Caenorhabditis elegans: one gene and its partner. The protein of the gene in region 1 interacts with the protein of each later gene in a biochemical or structural test. Each region holds a gene or a part of one and is shown on either strand. Other genes may lie near its edges.

Region 1 (6,925 bases):
ACTTTAAAAAATACTATATTTGCGCAGAGTTATGAGGTTTTGAAATGGAATCAAAATTAGCAAATTTTTGGGATACTGTAGATTTTAATGGGAAAATCAAACTGTAACATAACCTAAAAAAACACTTACCTGGAGCTCAGTTTAAGTTTTAAATTATTTCAAAATCTCAAAAATAAGAGGAGTTATGAGTTTTAGAAATTTGGTTTTTAATTTTAAAAACATTTAAATTTTGAGTCATCGCAAAAACTCTTGGGTGACTGTAGTTTCAGCTCTTTTTTTTAACTTTTTGAAAGAATAAAAGCCTTTCATTGTGGGCTTGTTTTGAGCTAAAATTTATATTAAAATCTTGAAAACAACCGGAGTTATACGTTTCAAAAATTTAGAAAATTCAAAAAAATTTTTAAAACTATTTTTCGAGTACTTTTTTCAAAGAATTTAGAGAAAAATTAATAAAATATGCAAAAACTCATTAGTTTAAAAAAAAACGACAAAAAAATTGAGGCCAGAAATGAAAAATTGGCTTCATTTGTTTTTGTGATGTGTGTACACCCTTTGTGCCATTTACTTATGGCTTCATCAATTTGTTTTTCTTCAATTTTTCGACTGAAAACAGGAAAAAAGCAATTAATGTGCTTACTTTTAGAATATAAAAAACCAGAAATTTTGAAAAAAAAAATTATTTTTTAATTTTTTTTCCCAAAATTTCCAAAAAAATCCTTTTTTTCAAAACTTCTCCACAAACTTATTGTATTTTTATGACCTCAAATTTTAATACAAAAATATTCAAAAAGCTGCTCGGCGAGCCATACAAAAGTGTATAAAAATGAGAGGGGGCGATGATGAACAGAGAGAGCTCCCCGGTCCTCGGCACAAAAGCAAACAATTTTTGAAAAGGGGAGGGCGGGGAGGATATATTGAGTGGAAAGAATGAAGAAAAGGAAGAGCAGTAGCTTAAGTGGAAGGAGAATCCCCCAAAGTGCAATTTTATTTGGAAAATTTGGAGCCCGGGGCAATTTTTTTGGTCCCGCTACGAAAACCCTCGGGGTACTGTAGTTCGTAGTAGTTTATTTGAAATATGACACTATCATCATAAAGTAATATTTCCGGTTTAAGCTGCAAAAAAATTACATGAAAATCTTGAAAATGGGCTGAGTTGTGAGCACTTGAATTTTTGGAAAAAAAATTATTTTCGAAAATTTGGGTCCTTTCACGAAAACTCTTGGGGTACTGTAGTTTTGGAGGTAGACGTAATTTTAAAATATGTTTCTGGTAGAAAATTGGTTTAAATTGATTTTACAAAAGAAATTATCTGAAAATCTAGAAAACTGACAAAGTTACAGAATTTTCAACTTTTTAAAAATTTGGGCCAATAAAAATTATTTTCGAAAATTTGGGTCTTTTCACGAAAACTCTTGTGGTACTGTATTTTTGGAGGGTACTGTAAATTTAAAGTAATTTTCTTGTAGAAAAATAATTCAAATTAACTATACAAAAAAAATTATCTGAAAAACTTCAAAACTGACAAAGTTACAAAATTTTCAAATTCAGGAAAAATTTTACTATTTTTTTAATTTTTTCATTGGGTTGTGCTTTCAAAAAAATTTAATTAAAACCGCAACACGACCGCAACGCACGATGGAGCAGGAATACGTTTCTGATTAGTGAAACTTTGCTCCCTGATATTTTGACCAGAAAATACGGCTTGTAATCAAATTTTGCAATAAAAACCCCGCGCCGGAACATTTTTATCACTCTCGGAAACCGTATACAAATACTCGAATTTTTCTTCGTTTTTATGCTGAATCACTATGAAATCCGTAACTGTATTCTTGTTGGCTGGTACCACGTTTGCTATTTATTTTGATGGGAAAGGAAGTCGGCACTCTTCATCTTCTTCCGAGGAGCACGGAGGTCATGGGCCTCGACCAGGACCTGGGGGGCCAGGACGAGGAGGCAATTGCAGCCCTGGATGGTTGAGATTTGAGCGGCAAAGCGGAGTTTGGTGTGTCTTTGTGAGTTTAGAGTTTCTTTAAAAATTTCAACTTTCTAGACCACTTGGGAGCTGAGATACAGCTGTTTCAAATTTACGACCGCAACGCAGACATCCGACTTATCAAATTTTGAAATTGTCTCAATGAAATTAGTCCACCCCTAAAGTTTTAACTGAATAACGTCAAAGAGAGCTGAGTTCTGGTATTTTGAATATTGTAGCCCTACCGCGACGCGGCCGCGACGCATGGTTTTTTTGAAGAATTTGAAATTTGAAATTTGAAATTTCATATTCAATTTTGCATGTTTTTCTTATTCCAATGAAAAAATTTGGGCATTAAAGCCTCAGTGAGAGCTGAGATTTAGGCATTAGAAAATTTTAGACTGACCGCGACGCGACCGCAACGCAAGCCTCAAACTTGAAACAGATGTACTTTGGCTCACAGTTGAGCAATTGCGCCGGAATTTTAGCAGCTTAATAATCCAATGTAGCTCCATTCAATTAATATGTTTCCACTTATTAGGTCGGCCTAGCCGGAATCAACGACAACTCATTTGCACAGAAGGACGGACAAAGCGCCTGTGTGGCTCTTGGAGCCACATTAACCGGATTCCAAAACGATAAAGAACGTATGGCTGTGGCAGATGAAGCTGGAAGAAAGCTTGGAGCCGCCGGCGGAGGAATTGCCGGACTTTGGTTAGGAGCCACAACTCGCGCGGGCTGCAAAGCTGGCGCATGTGGACCACTGAACACCTTTATGTGGACCGATGGTGTCACTACTGGCACAGCCGGGCTTAAATGGGCTACTGGAGAGCCTGATAGTGTGGATTATCCGTAAGTGGAAAATTTTGACTTTTGTCCCAAATTGAACAGACTAGGAAAAATGTTGCATTTTCAAAATTACGTAACTTTATTATTATTATTATTATTATTATTATTGAATACGTTTATTTGAACGTGAAAGTAAGAGAAAAAAAGAGGAAAAAAAAATACAAAATATGAATATTAAGGGATAATACAGAGTGGGAACGGGTTGAGGCCTTGTCATTTGGGTTGGGACCTTATCATTTCTTAATGTGTTCAAAAAAGGGATAAAGTTTGTGTCTGATGAACGAAAGTTAAGAATGATTGCCTTTTGCAGGGTTTACTATAGCACTGAGAACATGATGAGTGAAAAAATGAGTTCGAAGTTTGCTTTTGGGAGTTTTCCACCTGTAGGCGTGGCTGTTCCTAGTTCTTTCAGAAGGTTTGAACTCAAAAAACTGTGAGTGGTCTATATTGATTTTGCCCGCTATTAGTTTCCTAATGAGCTTTACATCTAAAAGCTTTCTTCTATCTTCTAGAAGCTCCAGACCATACAATTTCGATCTTTCAGCTGAGTTTAAGTAGACTTTGTCTGTCCTTTTAATCACGCGCCCAGCTATTCTAAACATAAGTTTTCGTGTGAAGGAATTTTGGACCGATTCTATTTCTTTAACCATACTTTTTTTAAAGGTGTTTGTAACCGGAATTCCGTATTCAAGGAAAGGTCTTATGAATGTTTTAAAAAGAAAAACCATTAACTTTATGTTGTTTGAATGAAACGATTTGAAAACATTATAACTTGAATATTTTGCCTTATTTATCGATTTTTGCCAGTGTTCTTCAAAATTCAATTTATTATTAATGAAGAATCCAAGGTCTCTCACTAAAGATTCTCGTTTTATGATAGAGTCCTCAAGCTTATATATTAGAGTTTTAGGGTGTTTACCTAGACTTATGCAAACGGTTTTATCATGGTTTAACTCTAGTGATGAGCTTTTGGACCAATTCAAGATAACATCGATTGCTTCCTGCAGATCATTAGTGGGATTAGTTTTATCAAAAGAGCAATATAGTTTGAGGTCATCAGCGTACTGCATATATTTTACAGTTTTAGGAATTTTTTCACCAAGATCATTTGCAAATATGCCGAAAAGTATAGGTGAAAGTACGCTGCCTTGGGGGACACCGCATGGGGCGTTCCTAACAGAAGATATAGAATTGTTCACTTTTACTTTGAACGTACGGTTGGAAAGGAATGAGTCAACCCATCCTATGAGCATTGAGTTAAACCCGGCCTTTATTAATTTTTCAATTAAGAGTGAATGATTTACTTTGTCAAATGCTTTACTGTAATCAAAAAATACTACATCTACTTGATCCCCTTTTTCTAGACTCAATGTCCAATCGTTTAAAGCGGAGAGTACACAGGTTGTGGTGGATCGTTGAGGGAGAAACCCGTGTTGGCTGTTGGACCAAAAGTTAGTATCATTGAGAAATGGAAGAATTCTGCGAAGCAGGCATCGTTCAAACGTTCTACACAGTATTGAAGTTATAGAAATTGGACGGAAATTATTGACGCTTGTTGGGGTTGGCGTTTTTGCTAGGGGGAGGGCAATTGACTCGGTCCATTTTTTAGGAACCTGTTTTGATGTCATAGACATATTAAAGAGCTGGCTGAGAATACTTGCAATTTGAGGGGATATTAGTTTTATGAATTTAGCGGGGACGCCGTCAGGGGTCAAGGTTTGGGAGCTAGGGATTTTATTTAACAATTTAAGTACCTCATCATCAGTTATCCAGATTGGGGACTGATCAGAATTCAAATGAGCGTAAGAATTGGTAGTTACAGGACTTATATTTGTGTACTGGCTTTCAAAGTGATGAGCCAGACATTCACTTTTATCAATATCAGTTCGTACAGTTCGTCCATTGGGATCTGTGAAGTCGGGGATTATGTTATTTCTAGGTTTGAGGACAAACTTGGAGTGATGTGAGAATTTACTGAGTCCTTTCATTTTTAAATAATTGAGTTCGCTATTTTTTTTTGTACTTTTTGAGCATTTTTCGGAATTTTTTTGTGGTTTTTATATACTCATCAAAATCTGCTTTGGAATGAGAATTAGCGGCTGTTTTCCAACAATAATCTACATGCTTTCGAAATGATACTAGATAATCTGGTAGCGGACCTTCGTTACTGTCAACAGTGATCCAGGGAACCGTTACACTGAACGCATGTAAGAGATAAGAGATAAAATTATCATATTTTTGAGACACTTCATTTCCATGCCCTAGAATGGTGGTCCAATCTGGATTAGAGAAAAGGGAGGCTAGAAAATCGGTGTTTATATTTCGATAGTCTGCCATATTGAAGGTTACTGGCGGTAATTTAGAAAGAAGATCAATTTTGAATGTAACTTTACAGTGGTCTGAAGACCCAATTGGACTACTTCCCTCAATATCTAAAATATGAAAGTTACTGAAGACGAGGTCTAATAGGTTTTTGCCTCTCGTAGGTGTTGAGACGTTTTGATGAAGATTGTTGTTTATACAAAAATTAGCTAATAGTTTACCGGCATCTGAAGACCCTGAGACTGGGTTAGAAACCCAGCTAATTTCTTTTATGTTAAAGTCCCCCGTAATAATAACGTTTAGTTGGGGATCTATTAAATTTGAAATGGATATTAGCAGTTTGTTAGTCATTCGGATTTTACAAGAAGGAGTTCTATAAACAGTAATTAGACGAATCGGTGAAGCCGTTATGTCTATGTCTAGAGCTACTTTGCTCATTTTTTGAATTTTTGAATTATTTTTGATATATGATGTAGTTAGATACTTGTTTAATTCAAAAATTCAAAACAAAAAAATTTTTTCGAATCATAGGTGTAAATTACCATAAAAACCTACAGTAAAGAAGTTTTAAACAAAATAACTGATGTTTTTTTGGAATTTGTAAACTTCAAAAATAGTAAACTCCGCTCGCTTTAAAGATTTTCAAATAAACTTTATTCAAAATGTAGCTCTGATACTCTTCTAGTCAGCACAACAAAATTTCAAGTAAATGTTAATTAATCCTAAAACACCCAAAGAGTTTTCCTGACGGCCCAAAGTTTCAAAAAAAAAAATTAATTTCAAATAGTAACTTGGCTCAATTTGAACTTTCTCAGATTTCTTTTATTTTTAAATATATGTAGTAAATTAAATTTTATAATAAGCTCAGAGAATGTGAGAAAAATTAGAATTTTTCAAAAAAAAAGTTGATTTTTTTGTTTTTGAAAATTAATAACTCTGCTAATTTTCAAGATTTTCAGCTGAATTCTGTCTCGAAAAAAAGCGGATTTTTCAAGTCTTCATAATAATTTTTTTACCAGAATCCCAATATTTTTCAGAGGAACCGCCGCGTGCATCCAACAATTCATCATGCTCCCCAACTGGGTACCCGGACCCTATGACCTGGAAGGCTTCAGAACTGGCTTCACACATGGAATTCTTTACAAATTTTCGTGTATTGCTCCAGTGACACCTGGAACAAGAATGTTTGCTTGTGGAAAAATGGCAGCTGGTTAAATGAAATTAAATGTTTATTTGGATTTTTGAAATAAAATTTTTGAAATAAATTTTCAGAAGTTTTTAAAACAATTTTTAGTTTCTCAAAATGAGCAAAAAAATTTCAAGACTTGCATATTTTAGGAGATTTTTAATTTAAAAAATATTAAAACTGTTAAAATCTCATTTTTTGACAAAACTACAGGACTCCAAAAAAAATGTTTTTTTTTAAAGATTTTTTTTTAATTTCAAAGTTTTATAATTTACTCAATCATTAAAATTTTCAAATGATTTTTTTTAATATGTAAAAATATTTATACTTTCAGAAACTGTGGAATTTCTAATTTTTTTAGCCAAAACTACAGTACTCCCAGAGTTTCCGTGGCAGGACCCAAAATTATTTTAATCAGTATTTTTCTGAGTTGATATGTATGTCATTATATACACTATAAAACCTGTTTCTTGCGTGGATTTCTTTTTATCATTTTTTGCTGTCTGCGTCTCCAGTCTCTCGATCACTACATCTTCTCTTTATTCTCGTCACTAATTTATATTTTTATCATATTTTTTAAATATTGATTTATAAAT
Region 2 (6,197 bases), on another chromosome or scaffold:
AAGTTTAAACATCAGTTAACTGTGTAATCAATTTTTTTCTTCATCTTTCTTATCATATAGTTTTTGTTTTGCTTGAAATTTGTTTTTCTCTGATATCATCATTCTGACTACAATTTGAGAAAGATTATTTTTTCTTGATCCAATGTTTTTATTTTATGGTTAGAAAATAGAAAGAAAAAATCTTTAAATTTTGAATCAGATTTGGAATTAAAATAGAAATATTGAAATTTCAGATTCGTACTTATTTTTCATATTTTTCTCTCTATGTGCAATGTTTAAAAGTGGAGTAGCGCCAGTGGGGATTGTTTCTAAATAAACCTATAATGATCCAAAACGACCAAATATCATAATCAACCACTCCTTTTTTTTCCGGACAAAGTTCTGGAAAATTGACAAATTTTTGAAAAATATGAGCTTTTGAGGAAATCCAAAGCAATGTCGTATGTTTTGACTCTTACAATGTTTAAATCCAAATAAATAAAACAAAATTACAATATAAAAAATGCAGAAAAACAAATTTTTTTTTGGTCGAAATCCAAAATTATGAGTGGCAAAAACTGAGTAATTGTCACTTTTTGACAGTAAATAAAAAAATTTTGAAAACTTTTTTGAAAAGTTTTATTATGATATTCGGTTATTTTGGCACCATAGGAATGGTTTTTAACAATTTCCCCCTGGCGCTACTCCACTTTAAGATTTTAAAAGCTTATGTAAAACCACACGTTTGATCGTAAAACGTTTAAGCCTAGTTTATTTGAGCAGTAAATATATCTGCATGGGAGCAAAATTGATTTTAATTATGAGTTTTTTTTCAAATTAGTAACAAATTAACAAACTTGAATTGGTCCGATTTATAAATTTTGATAAAATAAGTGTTGTTTTTCCAATTAAAAAAACTATTTAGTAAAAGTATTGTCGTTGATTTTTCCTCGTCGCTAATTGAAATTTCCTGTCAAACTTACAGTTTTTGTTTAATTTTCTACATAAAATATTCTCAAAAGCGAACCAAATTTTCTGTTTTTTAAACGGATAATAAATCAAATTTTGGTGCTCATCTCTTATTAAAGGCTCATAATATACATATAACGGATCATTTCTAGATGTGGGATATCAAAAATCTCAATCTCGTTCTCCACCCTGACCACATCCCAAATGATGACCCAGCTAATTTTCCAAAAAGTCCCATTTACCACCAATAAGTTCGGTGACGCAAGGTGGGCAATCCTCCGTCAATTTCTTGCTTCCCAGCACTTTACGAGCAAACACACACAGCGACTCTGCCGAAGAAACGAACCACACACACCTTTGACGTTCCCAGGCCCTTCCCTCCACATCATTCGCCGATGTTTACAGCCTCTTCGCCTCTCCAATGTTTTGTCGTTTTTACAATATACAAGGTGTGCGGGTCTGTCAGTTTAGGAGTGGATGGAGGAGGAGGAGGTGGTTGATGGCGTGCGTGTGGTGATGTTTCTCGAAAACAGTGTGGCAGTTTCTTTTTCTCTCCCCCCACTTGCCCTCTTCTGTCCATTAGAAGAAACTTTAATTGAATTTATAGGACTAGAATTGAATTGTAATTGGTATATATTGCTGGAGTAAATTATTAATTAATCGCTTTGATCTCTTGTTTCCTCATTCTACCCCATTATTTATCTATAATAGCTTATGAACCTCACCCCATAAATGCTCATTTTGCAGTGTCACAAAACTGGGAGCCGGCGTTTGATGAAGCTGAAACCAGCAAAGAGCAAGAAGTGAGACGAGAAAAGTCCAGAAAGACATGCGGTGCAATATAAAGCGATTATTCACTTTGGCGATCGGAGTTTTTGCGGCTACACTGGTTATAATCTCGTTTTCCAAGGACAACTATGAAAGTAAGTTCTAAAATTGTATATGTGTTGTTTATTGGTTGAAAATGATTATTTGAATTCGCTAGAAAGGAATAGTGGCGATAGCAATCGATAAAACAAGAGAGAAACTATGCCTAAATGTGGCCTATAACATGTGGGAGTTTTGTGACAATTTTGTCTTTATTGTCTATATGAAAATTTAGATCAAATCTCAATTTCCGAAAAAAATGGAAAAACTTTAGACATCTTTGAATACTATTTTAATCAACACTTTTCCACAAAAGTTTTTATATTGTTCCTAGAAAAGTATTAAAAAAGTAGTAGAAAACTTTTTGACAATGACACGTTGGAAAAAATTACAAAAAAATGTTTATGAACTTTGTATTTTCTTGAAAATCTGGCAGTTTGCCAAAAATTTGATTGCAATTTTTAATAAGTCTGAAACGTTCTACATATATAGATTTTCGTAGTTTACCCATTTTGATAATATTTTTACTAGGCCTATTCGAACTTTATAATATTAAAGGCGGAGTAGCGCCAGTGGGGATATTGTCTAACTACACTAATAATGATCCAAGAAGACCGAATATCATAATAAAACACTCCAAAACATTTTTAGATTTTTTATAATTTCCGATCAAAGTTTTGGCAAATTTCCACAGTTTTGAAAAATATGAGCTTTTGGTGAAATCTGGAGCAACGTCGCATGTTCCGACCCCTGCAATGTTTAAATCCTAATAAATAAAACAAAATTAAAGCGTAAAAAATGTAGGAAAAAATAATTTTGGTCGACTTCCAGTATTATAAGTGGCAAAAACTGAGTAATTGCCACTTTTTGACAGTAAATAAAAAAATTTAGAAAACATTTTTGAAAAGTTTTATTATGATATTCGATCATTTCGGCATTTTAGGAATAGTTGTTAACAATTTCCCCACTGGCGCTACTCCACCTTTCAATTATCTCTCTTTTCTAACAGTTCTTATGATAACTATATTTATTAAACTCTGGGCCTGTATGACTAAGTTGATAGTTTTAAACAAACCATTCACAAGGTTTCTCCTAAATAATCTTGCATCCATTTTCAGGAGAATGGAAACAAGGACCTCAATCAAACGAAGCACGAGCTGTAGGCCACCAGAGTCCCGACTTGTTTCCAGTCGGACAAAATAGTCTACCACACCAGCCAATTCCTCCAAGCCTTGGCGAGAAGGATCTTAGTGATCCATTCAACTTCTTGTTTTCATCTAACAAAATCACTTTACGCAAACTTTATGATCTCACTAAAAATGTAGATTTTGATCAGTTAAGGCAGAACGAGTGCAAGAAGAACATCACGCTTTCAAAGTTCTGGGAGAAGTCTGAACAGTAAGTTTTATATTTTGAAATTTCAAAAATTGAAAATGAAAATGAAAATTTTAACACCAGCTGCCAGCAAAAAAAAATCTCATCACTGTTTCAGGAGAAATGTGCCGGAAGATGACAACTGGGAGAGGTTCTACTCAAACATTGGAAGTTGTTCGGTGTACTCGGATGATCAAATGATTGACAACTTGCTGCACGATCTCAACACAAGTCCCATCAAACACGTGCACATTATGGATGGAGGCACTCAAGTGAAATTTGTGTTCACCTTCAAAAACGATAAGCAGGCCGTGTTTAAGCCGATGAGGTTTGATGAACAGAGAACACCGGAAAATAGTTGTTTTCTTTCTTTTTCAGATTTGGACGCGATTATGAATCGGATCCGAATCATTTCTACTTCAGTGATTTTGAACGACATCATGCAGAAATCGCAACTTTCCATTTAGACAGGTTAGTGGATTAAATAATGGATTTGTTTTTGTTAGAGATGGTTATCAATTTTTTTTTTTAAATCGGTCAGTTGAATTTCAGAGTGCTCGGCTTCCGACGAGCAATCCCCACCGTTGGACGAGTTCTCAATATGACAACTGAGCTGTTCGAAAAAGCAGAGAAAAAACTCAAGAAGACTTTCTTCTTCTCTCCAGGTACAGTTGACATCAAGACACCAAACCTGTTCACCACATCAATTTTATAAAAATAATTCCAGCCAAAAACTTTTGCTTCGTGTCACGATGCGATTATTACTGCGACACGACACATGCAATTTGCGGTCTTCCTGATATGAAGGAAGGCAGTGTGCAAGTGTTCTTACCCGACGAGTCAGCAGTTCCTCGGAAGCATAATAGGAGTCCGTATAGACGGTAGGTTGAAGGCCGATGGATAATAAAATAGCTAGCAGACTGTTTTCAGAACCTACTCGAAAAAGAATCAAGTAGCTGAATGGCAGTCGAGTATGAATTATTGCACGGATAAGGTGAAAACCAAGCGACAATATGCTCATGGAAGAAGGTTACTTGATCTGGTTGATATTCATATTTTGGATTATTTAATAGGTAAGAATTTGCAGTTGTCAAATTTTGAACATAAAAAACCGGTGGTGTTTGCACCCTCCGAATGGATGGTAAATATAGAATAACTGTACGGAATTTTTTTTTCGTATTTCTGACAGTGCTACGAGTATTAAAGTTTCATAACTGTTCTGTATGAGGAGAGTAATTGAAAGACAGCAACTGTACAATATAGAATTTGCTGCTCACAGTGCTTTTTATGGACCTCGTTCAATGTCGGGTGCACATTTACCACAAGTTTACTAACATTTTATTATTAACCAAAGACTAAACTACAAACATCCAGGAAACCAAGACCGTCATCACTTCGAATCCTTCAACGTGTTCAACGATCTTCCTTCCTATGCGATCCATCTCGACCATGGTCGAGCATTTGGCAGATCTGACTTTGACGATGACGACATCATTCTCCCGCTCCGACAATGCTGCATCCTACGTCCATCCACTTTCCAGACCCTTATGAATTTCTACAGTACACCAAAGTCACTGACGAAAGCCCTACACGAGTCATTATCGAAAGATCCAGCCCATCCGATTTTGGCTTATAAGCATTATCCGGCAATGGAAAGGCGGTTAGCAAAAAGTAAGTATTGAAATTATATTGAAAGGTTACCGAAAAACCTGAAAAATATTTTCCTGTGAAAATTCCAATTTGGGAATACAAAACTTAAAGAAAAAAAAACAATTTTCAGTTATGTCTCACATACTGGAATGCTTCGAAAGCCGGGGAGTTGCCGAAGTTCTAGTTGCCGAGTACAACAACCCCGATGTCTCAGACGCCGAGCAAAACGACGAAGAGCAAAGCGAGGAGCATCAGGATAAGAAGGATGATAAGAAAACTGTTTAGTCGTCATTCGTTAGGTCTTCTCAATTTTACCAAGGTCATGTAGTAGCATTTTAAATTTCCCTCTTAAACTTCAATGTTTCTTTGCGTTGCATTCGGGTCTCGAGCTTCTTTCACTCTCTGTTATTGTTGTATTTTTTCTTTTCACTTCCCCCCGTTTTTTAAACCCACAAGAAGGTATCCCATCCATCGCTCCACGGTTTCTCTCTGGTCAAACATTCATTTATGAGGGTCATATTATGTAGGTCAAATCAAAAACAAATCGGTGTTATAATATCGAAAAAATTTCTCGAAGAATTTGAAAAGTAACCTGATAGTTGTTTTGTGTAGAATTTCTGTTGAATATTATGATTATATATTCTCAGCTCTTTTTTTGTCATTTCTTTTTTTTTCCTATTGAATATCATACTTCTTTTATCAAAAGACGCAAACTTACTGGGTATATAATTCTCGCTGAGCAATGTGGCTGCAGTGCTCCATTTCTTGTCAAATCGGTTGTTTTTTTTTCTACTTTCAGGACGAATCATAAATGTTGTGATTAAATTGTTCTGTGTTTTTTTTTTCATTTCCAGTACAGGAATTGTTATTTTCAGAGATCAAGTTTCAAGGAATTTTTTAAAATTTTTTTAAAAAAATTTTAGTTTCAAGTAATTAAAATTTTGACAAAAAGTGGACCCTAATGACCGAATATAACTGTTCAATATTGCTAACAATTTTCAAAATTTCAAAAAAAATTTCAAAATTTCAAAATTTTTTATGATTTTTCAACTTTGCAAAAATTAAAAAAAGCGGCCAAATTAAATTTAAATTCCCGCGCAAATGAGTGACGTCATTTTCAATATTTTCGCGTTTTCTGGCTTAATTTACCAGGTTTCCTTGATTTCATCTTCTGCATTTGAGTTAAAATTCTGTTAGTCAATTTTTCGAACACTTTTCTTTAAAAAAATATTATAAAAAATATTAAAATTGTCGATTATTAGGTTGATTTTGAAATTTCCGCTTTACGGAAAAGTAATTTAAAAATTGACAAACGGTGTTTCTAATCAAATGCTAAAGAAAAAATCATGAAAAACAAA

Evidence for each region. The genes of interacting proteins can lie anywhere in the genome.
Region 2: of the proteins of clec-261 (region 1) and famk-1, one has a biochemical effect on the other in vitro, tested with the Caenorhabditis elegans proteins (one study listed by BioGRID).

The regions. Positions count from the first base shown.
Region 1 is NC_003283.11:20,289,372-20,296,296, reverse strand, and holds clec-261 (C-type lectin domain-containing protein), read left to right. Parts: upstream 1-1,808; coding exon 1,809-2,012; intron 2,013-2,513; coding exon 2,514-2,824; intron 2,825-6,180; coding exon 6,181-6,358; 3' UTR 6,359-6,409; downstream 6,410-6,925. Other genes in the region: mlt-4 (ANK_REP_REGION domain-containing protein), read left to right, coding at 6,924-6,925.
Region 2 is NC_003284.9:15,208,758-15,214,954, reverse strand, and holds famk-1 (Extracellular serine/threonine protein kinase CeFam20), read left to right. Parts: upstream 1-1,695; 5' UTR 1,696-1,722; coding exon of another isoform or gene 1,723-1,755; 5' UTR 1,756-1,777; coding exon 1,778-1,871; intron 1,872-2,933; coding exon 2,934-3,213; intron 3,214-3,307; coding exon 3,308-3,517; intron 3,518-3,567; coding exon 3,568-3,660; intron 3,661-3,741; coding exon 3,742-3,854; intron 3,855-3,916; coding exon 3,917-4,070; intron 4,071-4,119; coding exon 4,120-4,262; intron 4,263-4,563; coding exon 4,564-4,860; intron 4,861-4,969; coding exon 4,970-5,124; 3' UTR 5,125-5,666; downstream 5,667-6,197. UniProt on the Caenorhabditis elegans protein: Golgi serine/threonine protein kinase that phosphorylates secretory pathway proteins within Ser-x-Glu/pSer motifs.